Saccharomyces cerevisiae S288C: one gene and its partner. The protein of the gene in region 2 binds, or shares a complex with, the protein of the main gene of each other region. Each region holds a gene or a part of one and is shown on either strand. Other genes may lie near its edges.

What was found. Proteins that work in one complex are often made in the same cells at the same time.
Region 1: MEI4 (region 2) and REC114 share a complex: the UniProt entries of both Saccharomyces cerevisiae proteins name them as parts of the MER2-MEI4-REC114 complex.

The regions. Positions count from the first base shown.
Region 1 is NC_001145.3:533,176-538,109, reverse strand, and holds REC114 (Rec114p), read right to left. Parts: upstream 1,904-4,934; coding exon 662-1,903; intron 546-661; coding exon 501-545; downstream 1-500. Other genes in the region: ERG29 (Erg29p), read right to left, coding at 1-272; JLP2 (Jlp2p), read left to right, coding at 2,540-3,166; ribosome biosynthesis protein RRB1, read left to right, coding at 3,412-4,934. UniProt on the Saccharomyces cerevisiae protein: Required for the production of double-strand breaks (DSBs) in meiotic recombination initiation; not required for mitosis. Plays a role in activation of the DSB nuclease SPO11 at recombination hotspots.
Region 2 is NC_001137.3:236,983-242,972, forward strand, and holds MEI4 (Mei4p), read right to left. Parts: upstream 2,793-5,990; coding exon 2,730-2,792; intron 2,642-2,729; coding exon 1,478-2,641; downstream 1-1,477. Other genes in the region: SAH1 (adenosylhomocysteinase), read right to left, coding at 1-137; ERG28 (Erg28p), read right to left, coding at 588-1,034; ACA1 (Aca1p), read right to left, coding at 3,050-4,519. UniProt on the Saccharomyces cerevisiae protein: Required for meiotic induction of recombination, viable spore production and chromosome synapsis. Component of the MER2-MEI4-REC114 complex which seems to be required for meiotic double-strand break (DSB) formation.

The DNA of each region.
Region 1 (4,934 bases), on a different chromosome or scaffold from region 2:
CCGTGATATTCATCACTCACCAACATCCGATGAAGCTTCAGACTTTCATCGATTCTTCCACGCTCTAGTTCTTCTGATGTGTTCTTTTGTAGAAGACTCATTTCGATCGTTATATACAGTTCGTTAAAAAATGCAAGCGTACCAACCACTATCAAAAAGAGAGTTATCCTACCACTTATTCGATCATGGATAAATTGATGAACATATGGCAACTCCTGTAGTTTATTTATTAATTTTAATTCGAGATTTAGATACCTATCCTTTAACGACATACCGGCCTTTGGTTCTTTTTCTATACCACACTTTGCTATAAACACTTCCAAGTATATTGCAGATTTGCGATGTGATTCAATTTTTATAATGCTTTATATTTTGTTTTTTTTTCATAAAGGCTTACTTAAACGAGCTTGCTCTTCTTGCTTAGCGATATTGCCGAAACTCGGGTTTACTTTTCCATTTTACTTCGTGGCTAGTGTAAAAAGGAATTGCAAAAAAAGGGTTCACTTTTCGAACATTTTATTGAGAACCGTTTCAACCTTATTAACCTTTTCATTCATATTTGTAGTGGCAAAAGTTGTTAGTTAGTATTTCTTTGTCAAGTCAGAGAAAATGAGTGGATAAGAGGGGGAAACAGCTCAGTTTCTTGCAAATGCATACATACCCATTTCATGAATTCTTCGTCTTTCAACTTTTCCTTGATTAGCCGCTTAGATATTTTTCTTGACGCATTCCGATTAACGTTTTTAACTCTTATCGTTAATCCTTCGCTTGGCGATGCTTCTTTCCTCGTTTCATTAAGTGTGCCGTTAGGTAGCACTTCTTTATTTCTATCAGGGGTATGTGTATTTCCAGATTTTTGGGGGTTTGTTAGTTTATCATCAATATTTTTCTTATTACTGGTATTTTTCTTCGCCGTGTTGTCTTTCCCGGGGCTCCATATAATCGTTGGTGTTGCATCTAAACCAGTGACGCTTTGCATCTGACTTTCCCTTTCCTTTGGTATATGAATAGTTTCTAATAAACCAGTTTTACACAGAGCAATCTCCTTTCTTGAAGTAAAATCAGAAGTGGTGTCGACTTTTTTCTTTTTGTTTTCTGCATTAGGAAGGCAGTTGGTAGTGTTTGGTGGAGATTGAGAAACCTCCAATGGCTGTACAATTAGCGACTCAGGACGACCCAAAACAGTTTGCGTAGCCATTGGAGTGTTGAGGTCTTGTGAAGATTGTACTACATTTAAATCCGTGTTTGGCCATATTTGTTGAGCTATTTGAATGCTGTCGTGTGGTAAAGTTATATTTGAACGATTATTTGACTCTCTTTCAGATTCTTCCTGATAACGTTGACTGAAATCCATAATCATGTTTTGAGTTTGAAATTGCGTGTTCGGATTTGTGTAGCTACTAACTTTTGGACCTTCTGTGAAACAGACCTTTGTACCGTTATTATTGCCTTGCACCTGGCTTGTTATTGTACTCTGGGCTATTGATGTCCTAGCTGTCCTTAAAACAAAATTAAGGTTCTTTAAAGAAACTACAGTCCTGTTGAACTCAACGTCATTTGGCAAATTCATCTGAAACCTCCTTAACATTCTGGGTCCGAATTCTTCGGAGATATATTTACAAGAGATTATGGGGCTTTTACATGAAAATTGTATTAAATCTTGATTATCCCCCAGCGGCAGGCGAATATTTTCGAGAAGTGTTGAATTATTGAGAACCACATTGATCAGAATTTGTCTAGAGTCCATTAGAAGAACCCGAAATTGGAGAGTGCAGTTAGCGGAAAGGTGTTGCCACTTGTCTATCTGAGGAGGCTCAAGCATTGATTGAAAACCATTTGGAGCGAAGGAGGGAATTGTATACTTGGAGTATTTCTTTATTACAACTGAGCAGTACTCGTACATTTTTCTCTTTTTTTTTATTTTAGTTCTCTCTTTCAAACTTAACTTGACGATATGTTAAAACCTTCTCCTTTGCTTTTTATAAGTTAGCCGCCCACCTTGTAACGAAATTCTCTATTAGTAAAAAAAAGTTGATATTCTTTCAGGAACCCACCAAAATGGGCTTCGTATTTAAGTATGTATTAATAATTTATGTTATTATTATTTAAAATACTGAATACTTTAACAGTCATTTAAGTGTTTATGAATATGCAGACGGTAAACTGAATTTTATTTTATTCCTACAAAATCACATCGTAGAACATATAAGTAGTCATTACATCTATAAAAAAATTAACAGTGGTTTGAAAACATTCGTTGTGCTCGATCAATCATTTGAAAAGAGACTTCTTATTTTTTCTGAATGCTAGATGCTATTTACTTTCATCTTTTATACTCTTAATTTATATTTAGTTTAGGATATAGATTATCCTAGGCTTTAATATTTTAATGGAAAAAAACTACAATAAGATTGAAACAAAGAACTTGGATAAAAAAACAAAACAACTCTGTAGACCAGAGGACTGCCTTATACTTAAAATTTAGAAAGTAAGCGAATAGAATTATAAGGCTCAATTGAAATTCAACTTTTCAATAACAATGGTGTATTTCTATGAATCAAAACCAACTGAGTATTCAACACCTTACCAAATTGTGATGGGCAAAGATAAGTTTGAAAACGATCTACTTATCAAATGGAGCTATAGGGAGTTAAACTATGTTTGGTTTCACGCGGATAAGTACTCAAGTGGTCATGTTTATTTAAAGTTACGCCCAAATGAAAAAACAATCGATGACATACCGCAAGAAGTGATATGTGACTGTCTGCAGCTATGTAAATCAGAATCCATTCAAGGAAACAAAATGCCACAATGCACCATCTTGATAACACCATGGCATAACTTGAGAAAAAACAGGTATATGAATCCCGGTGAAGTATCATTTAAGTCTCTAAGACAATGTAGAAAAATGGAATGCGGAGCACGAGATAACAAAATACTAAACAGACTGGCCAAGACAAGGGTAGAACTATTTAATAATGTGGAAGCTACACTTAACGAAGCAAAGAAGACCAAAAATGGTGATTTTTTTGTAAACTATATTGAGTCGAATAGATCAAATCTTATTGAAGAAGAAAAGCTAAGGAAAGTAGCGAAAAAAAACCAAAAGAAGAAGAACAAACAGTCTAAAGATGAGGTTACTGACGATATGCAACTGGAAGTATGATATCATCTACATAACGTAGACGCTTCAAAATAGAGTACCATTTGTACTTACATCGTGATCACGTTTCTTTTTTCGTTCGAGCCGTGAAAATTTTTTTCCTTTCAGCGAAAAATACAGAAAATAAAATCCAACTGAATTTAGCGATGAGATGATCATTTCTTATAGGGATTGTAGTTGTTTGAATTTGTAGGTAAATAGTTATATCACCTACTCTCCGTTTTCATATACACGGAAATAGCACCATAATGTCGAAAAGGTCTATCGAGGTCAACGAGGAACAAGATAGAGTGGTCTCTGCTAAAACAGAATCTCACTCTGTTCCTGCTATTCCCGCCTCTGAAGAGCAAGATGCTCCCAAGAATGACCTAGAAGAACAATTGAGTGATGAATTTGATAGTGATGGTGAAATTATTGAAATTGATGGCGATGATGAGATTAATGACGAAGATGACCTTAGGAAAAAGCAAGAAGAAGCTGAAACTTTAGTACAAAAGGACCAATCCGAAGGCAACAAAGAAAAGATCCAGGAGCTTTACTTACCCCATATGTCTCGTCCATTAGGGCCAGATGAAGTCCTTGAGGCTGATCCCACTGTTTATGAAATGCTACATAATGTCAATATGCCATGGCCATGCTTGACATTAGATGTCATTCCAGATACACTAGGTTCTGAACGTAGAAACTATCCACAGTCTATTTTGTTGACCACGGCTACTCAATCTTCCAGGAAAAAGGAGAATGAACTAATGGTTCTAGCACTTTCTAATTTAGCGAAAACACTTTTGAAAGACGATAATGAAGGTGAAGATGATGAAGAGGATGATGAAGATGATGTGGATCCAGTCATTGAGAATGAAAATATACCATTGAGAGATACAACCAATAGATTAAAGGTTTCTCCTTTTGCCATTTCTAATCAAGAGGTGTTAACCGCTACAATGAGCGAAAATGGTGATGTTTATATATACAATCTAGCTCCACAAAGCAAAGCTTTTTCCACACCAGGTTATCAGATTCCGAAGTCTGCTAAGCGTCCTATTCACACTGTAAAAAATCATGGGAATGTTGAAGGCTACGGGTTGGATTGGTCACCATTGATCAAGACTGGTGCGTTACTATCAGGTGATTGCTCAGGACAAATATATTTTACCCAAAGGCACACATCGAGATGGGTGACTGATAAACAACCATTTACTGTTTCAAACAATAAATCCATAGAAGATATCCAGTGGTCTCGCACTGAATCCACCGTTTTTGCAACCGCAGGATGTGATGGATATATAAGGATTTGGGACACAAGATCAAAAAAACATAAACCTGCTATCTCTGTTAAAGCTTCTAATACTGACGTAAATGTCATAAGTTGGAGTGATAAAATTGGTTACTTGCTAGCAAGCGGTGACGATAACGGTACATGGGGAGTATGGGATTTAAGACAGTTTACGCCAAGTAATGCTGACGCCGTCCAACCGGTTGCTCAATATGACTTCCATAAGGGAGCCATTACTTCCATTGCATTCAACCCATTAGATGAGTCTATCGTTGCGGTAGGCTCAGAAGATAATACTGTGACTTTGTGGGATTTGTCTGTAGAAGCTGACGATGAGGAAATTAAACAACAGGCCGCCGAAACAAAAGAGCTACAAGAAATTCCACCACAATTATTGTTTGTTCACTGGCAAAAGGAAGTTAAAGATGTCAAATGGCATAAGCAAATCCCAGGTTGTTTAGTAAGTACCGGTACTGACGGTTTGAACGTCTGGAAAAC
Region 2 (5,990 bases):
AAAGGTTGGACGTCACCGTAAGCCTTTCTGATGGCCATCAAACCTGGCATTTCATGTTCAGCCAATTCGATTTCCTTTCTACCGAAGGCAGCCAAAGAGATATCAGCGATTTTGTAGTTTTGAGCTGGAGCAGACATTGGGAATTGTTCTTTTTGTCAGTTGGGTTATTTCGAGGAGAAGAGGATTTTCAGAAAGAAAGAAAAACAAATAGGAATGGAATCATGGAGTTAATAAACCACGTTACTAAATAAGAGATTGGAAAATCTAAAATACGGCTTCGAGGTCGTTTAATTTTCTTTTTCCTCTGAAAATTTTCTTTCTTTTTCGGCCTTAGCCTGTGAAAATTTCGGCCGAAAAAAAAGCCAACGAGATCACGTGCACAGAAATATCTGCGTTAGAGGAGAGAGGTAGGGATACTTACAGAAATGAAGCCAAATTGGCAGCTTTTTGAGAAATAATCATGAATGATAAACAATTGCTGTTAAATAATGTACGGAAGGTTTGGATAAAGGTTGCTATAGGCATTATATAAATAAATCATCTCTATATAATTTTTTTTACAGGATATGCTTGCCCTTACATCAGAATTACCAAGCAACACCAGTGTAGTATTCTCTTTGTTTGTACATCCAAACCAAAGAGGTGGTTGAGACAACCAATGGACCCATGAATCCCTTTCCCAACTTACAAGTTCTAAAGATCAATAATTCAGAGCCGAAGTGGAATAGGGCAACCATATAAGACATGAAGACCAATTCGAAAATGTGTGGTTCATTCAAGTACATAGCCCCATAGAATCTGATAACACAGGAAATAAAGGTCCAAGTACCGAAAGTTCTTGCACTCAAATGGGTTGTTTCAGTGGGTTTTCTTTCGTAGACTTTACGTGTCAATTCTAAACCAGAAACGTAAGTCTGGATAGAATTGAAGACTGATACAATGGAAATGAAAAGTAACCATTTTGGTAAGTAACCTTTTGGCATTGCTGCCAAGGTGGTCTTGGTTGTAGTTATTACGTCTTGTAGGCTGAACATTATCTGATACTTTAGTGTATTTGAATCCTTCGATACTATGGTCTAGCTAGTGTCAAGAATATAAAAACCTGAAATTAGTCAATGCGTTTACGTCAAAAATAGTAGCAATAGTAAAGCAAAACAACAGGCTTGTTCAGCTTAGTTTTATATACGGGGGTAGAGAATACAATGGATCGTACCTTTTTTTTTGTTTCCTGTTCGTTCCGTCCCCGAACGAAAAAATCATAAAATAGAAGTTTCCTATCGGTAATACCGTAAAGTTTAATTCAGTTCGTATAAGATTAGGTTAATCATGGGCAAGTCCGGAAGAAGCGTTTTAATGTAGGTCTGTTGGGGAAGATGTTGTGTTCACTGTAATTTTCAACTGAAGTTGTTGTCCCCGAAATGAAAGAGCTTTCGATATTTTTGTGTTTTATAATGCGCCTCCTACTGCAAAAGAAAAATTAAATGTTTTCTGTCTCATTGAACCATCTTGACAATCGAAAGCGCGCTATCAAATTTCTTTCGGCAGTAATTAATAAGGCCGCCTGTATATATTTCCTTTTCTTCTGAAGCGATATTTCATGAGCCGGAAATTTTTCCAGGAAAGGTTTTAAGTGCTGCCATTCAATGCTTTCAAATGTCTCGAGCAATGATAGAATAACTATCTTGAGTATTTTCAATAGACCCCCTAACTCTTTTTCTGGGACACCGCTTATTACACTGTAAAAGTTCTTTAAGTAGGTTTTCTTCAAACTCAATTCTCTTTCGAGGTATACTCGACAGTACGCCTTTTTCCGGTTGATGCATATTAGTTTATGCTTCGATACAAATCTAATAAGTACATGTATCAGACTTTCGATGATGATAAGTATGTGTTCAATTAATTTCAGAACAGATACGTATTTTAATATCTGCGGTTCAAATGTTTGGTTTGTCTTGATTTTGATGAGTTGAATGTTAATAATAGAGTAAATAAGGGTAAAATGCAACGAACACAAGCGCTTGTAGTCAACTTTATCACATAAATGTTTGCCATCTCCCTGGTCGTAAAAGTTTTGAAGCCATTTTGGATCGTTTTGGTTCTTCTTCAATAAAATTCTATTAAACAGAAACTTGGCGATGAAATTGAAAACATGAACGTCTATCAGTGTCCTCTTAAAAGAAGAATCAGAATCTATGCGATGCGAATAATGAGAAACTAACAAGATTTGGAGTGTTTGAAACACTTGCGATAACCCTCTAAAGTCAATTTCTTTTGTTTTTAAGCTCAGGATTTTTAGCAGAATTTTATATCTCGGTAAAAACCAGTTGTTTATATCAGCAGTTGATACATCTTTGCTAAATGATTGCAGCTCCTTTAAACCAACTGCATCTTCGAAGCTTTTGTACTTATTCTGGCAAAGGAAATTGTATATAGGTTCCAGATGAGCAAACAGTGATTTATTATTCAAAAATCCATTTTCGAAAGGCGCAACCCATTTGTATATATGTTTTGAGTTTTCCCGAGGATTTATTTTTAAATTTTTTTCACTCTTGAGAGCACCTACATCTTCGACATCTCCTTTCTTTCTTGAAAGTGCCCTCTTCCACAACGTAGGATTCCTGGATTGAATTAAAGCAAAACACTGTCATAGATAATATTCGAGGAGATTACACCTCTTACTAAAAGTTAGTAAAGAGAAAATAGGTTAAGGATGTGACAATTTCACGTACGATTATCCAGTCAACTTCCGATGTTTCCTTTTGTTCCATATCTTCCAGTTTGCCTCTACTCATGTCCTTACTCTTCTAAAAGATTATTTAATGAAACTGTTTCACAACTACAAGATGTTTGTTATGTTTTCTTTTACAAGTCGGAAACATTTAGCCGCCCAGCAATATATATGACTCCGAAAGAAAATGAAAGGAAATACATACATAGTAAAATAAATCGTTTAAACATAAATAATCGTACAGAGGAAAACATTAAGGAAGGAGAGTCAAACTAATGTACTGGGAATTTGGATCTCCCATAAGAAGTATGCGCAATACTTTTATTCATCATATAGACTGGAGCTGCGTATCATTTCTTCAATCATTTTCAGAAACCCGTTAACATCACTATCCTTGTTTTGAAGGCTTTGATAACTATTATTACCACCATTAATTGTGCATTCTTGCATGTGCAACCTCGAAATTTTCTTCATTTTTTGAACCAATTTTTCGTAATTTTCAATTTTTTTCTTCATCATTGTGTTTTCTTTGCTTATTTGGTCAAATTCCCTTTGAAGTTGTAATTGTGACATTTTCTTTCTCTGTCGACACTTGGAAGCGGCAATTCTGTTTCGTTCTAGTAGCCTTGCACGCTTCCAAGCTTTAGCACCGTCTTTCAAGCCTGCAGTATTGTTCTCTATTTTTTGGGGTCTAGCTTCCTGCTTTATTTGGAAGGTTGCTGTAGTGTGCATAGAGGAGAAGGGCGCGGTATGTACGTCTTTCTCACTATTAATATTGTTTTTCAGTGCAGAAGTGGCATCCTTGTATTGTGGTTTTGAGTTGGCATGTGTTAAATTGACATCAGGGCATTTCGATTCGTATGGAAGGCTGCTTGAAATATTCAACTCGGCATTTTGGCAGGAATTATTAACAGTGTGGTGATTAACGCCATGGGAAATTGAAGAATGGACGGATTGATTTTCGATATTATGATCATTAATGTTTTGGCAGGAAGAAGAAGAGGAAACGGAAGAATTAGAGGCTGGAGTACATGGATGCACATTCAATTGAGCGTTTTTCCATGCCTTAGTTTGCATTTGAGCTTGTAATCGGAGTTGCATGTTGATGTAAGCCTGATTCATTGTGGAATCGCCAGATGGGATAGAAGGCGTGGCAGAAGGAATGTCACAAGTGGCTGCTACTGCGGGTATGTTAAGCTTTATATTGCTATCATACGGGGTCATTGCAGCGTAGATATTCTTGCTACCTGTTTGAGGTGCAGCTTCGGGTATGACTGTAGCTTGTTCGTGTGGTTGTGGCACGTTTTGCAATTCGTTCGAGCTAAAGCTTGGGTATATGGCTGCGCTTGGATTTGCCACCTGTTGAGGATTGGGATTCTGTTGCGCCTTAGACGATAGGATCGGAGGCTGACAGTTGTAAAGATTTTCAACCGTTTCTAAGTCTTCGCCTAATTGACTAATCTGACCATTGGAGATAGATATGCGTCTTTTGTACACGGGCTGATCAAACGCTGGTAAAGAACTTTGAAAAATGGGAGGGTTGGTAATGGGAAGATGGCTGATGTCGACGCCAAAGGGTTGAAACATTGGACCCAGGTTTTCTTGCACGCTACGGTCATGCAAACTGTTTTGGTGATGAAAATTGTAGGCAGAATCCACAAGACCAGGACCCGATGGTTGTTTGTATATAAGCTCCTTGTTTGAAGATAGAAAATCTGTATATAAGAGTGGGTTCTGCCTTCCATCTAGGAAAGAATCTGGACTTGTAGCAAAATTATGCTTATAGTCCATACTTTATTTGGTTCCTTAGTCGTTACCTGGTGTTATTCCAGTACTATTAATATAACTCAGTACAATTAGCTGCCGTGAAAAAAAAAAAATAATAAGAATACAGTTTCTGCGCTTTTAGTCGGTAAGCACTCAGATTGAGAGATCTAGATTTACTATATTTTAATAATAACCAGTTAAAGCAGATTTTGAAGATGAACTAACATAAAAAAAATTGATGAATTATGTAACATAATCTTCTGTACCACCAGGGTAAATCGCCAAAGAATATCTGCATCTAAGAACAAAAGAAAATGGTGCCCTAAATATCTTTCAGATGAAAAACTAATTATATATCACTACTAAAAAAAGCCAGAAAAAGAAAAAAAGTAAAATAGAAAATAGAAAATAGAAAATAGAAAAATAGAAATTAAAATTAAGAGCATTTTAAAATTAAGTCTACAAAGTAATACTTGGCATATTGCTTAACTCCTCACGCAGAGCCTTAGCGTACCACTATTTTATCTGATACCACAAAAAGCTGCGCTTTGATGGCCCAACGGGGATATAATCGCGCCACTGCTACTCATGTGCTGCAAACTAACAGTGCCAGCAGAAGCGAGCATTGAAAAACTAAACTTTGCCTTGTTCTGCTTACTTCATGCAGAGGTACAGCTTCGATGTCCTAAGGTTGAACATCATCTTGCTTCGATTTCGGTAGTAATCATTTTGCCTGCACGCCATTGTATGAATCTCGTGCCACTCCCTTTTTAACTCCGAGATACAACTTTCCGTGGGGAAAAGTACCGTAGTATTGTAATTTCGAGAGCATCTTTACGGTAATTGCCCCTCCACACCCAGACGTTACACAACCCTTAGTAAACAGCTGCGGAAAAAAAGTGTGCCTACGCACTGTACGACTCCTGATTGATTCCTTCATTAGCACTGACTGGCTTACGGTGCACATAAGTTATTAAGAGCAGTTTAATTCAGTTGCTGAATAGTCACGTTGATGAGCACGAATACCTGAAACACCAACGGTAATGAATCAATTGGCCTAGCGCATCGTTGTGTGCTTGGGTGTGCCGCACAATGGCAACCAAATACTGCTCGTTCCTGCACTTCGAAAGAAAAGCAGCCAAAAGAAAACGCGTTTTCCTTTGCGAGCGCTGGTTTGTTCCTCAGTTTGATAGAGGCGTTCAATTGGCAATTTGGGCACTAACACCGATGATAACAAGATATCTTGACTTTGACCTCTGATATTGAGGCGTTCCAACCAATAAGAGGGGCTGACGGTTGAAAATAAGGGTAAAAGAGAGCTATTCGGGTTGGGTCGCAGATTAACTTAGAAAACATGTACATGCAAATGTTGTTTTTTACGTACAGAAAGAGGCTGATGGAACCAAAGGAAGCAATAATTTGCACCTTGATATTTTGCGCTTTCTGCTTTTGAAACCTTATTATATGCCTTTACATATACTGTCACGCGACATTT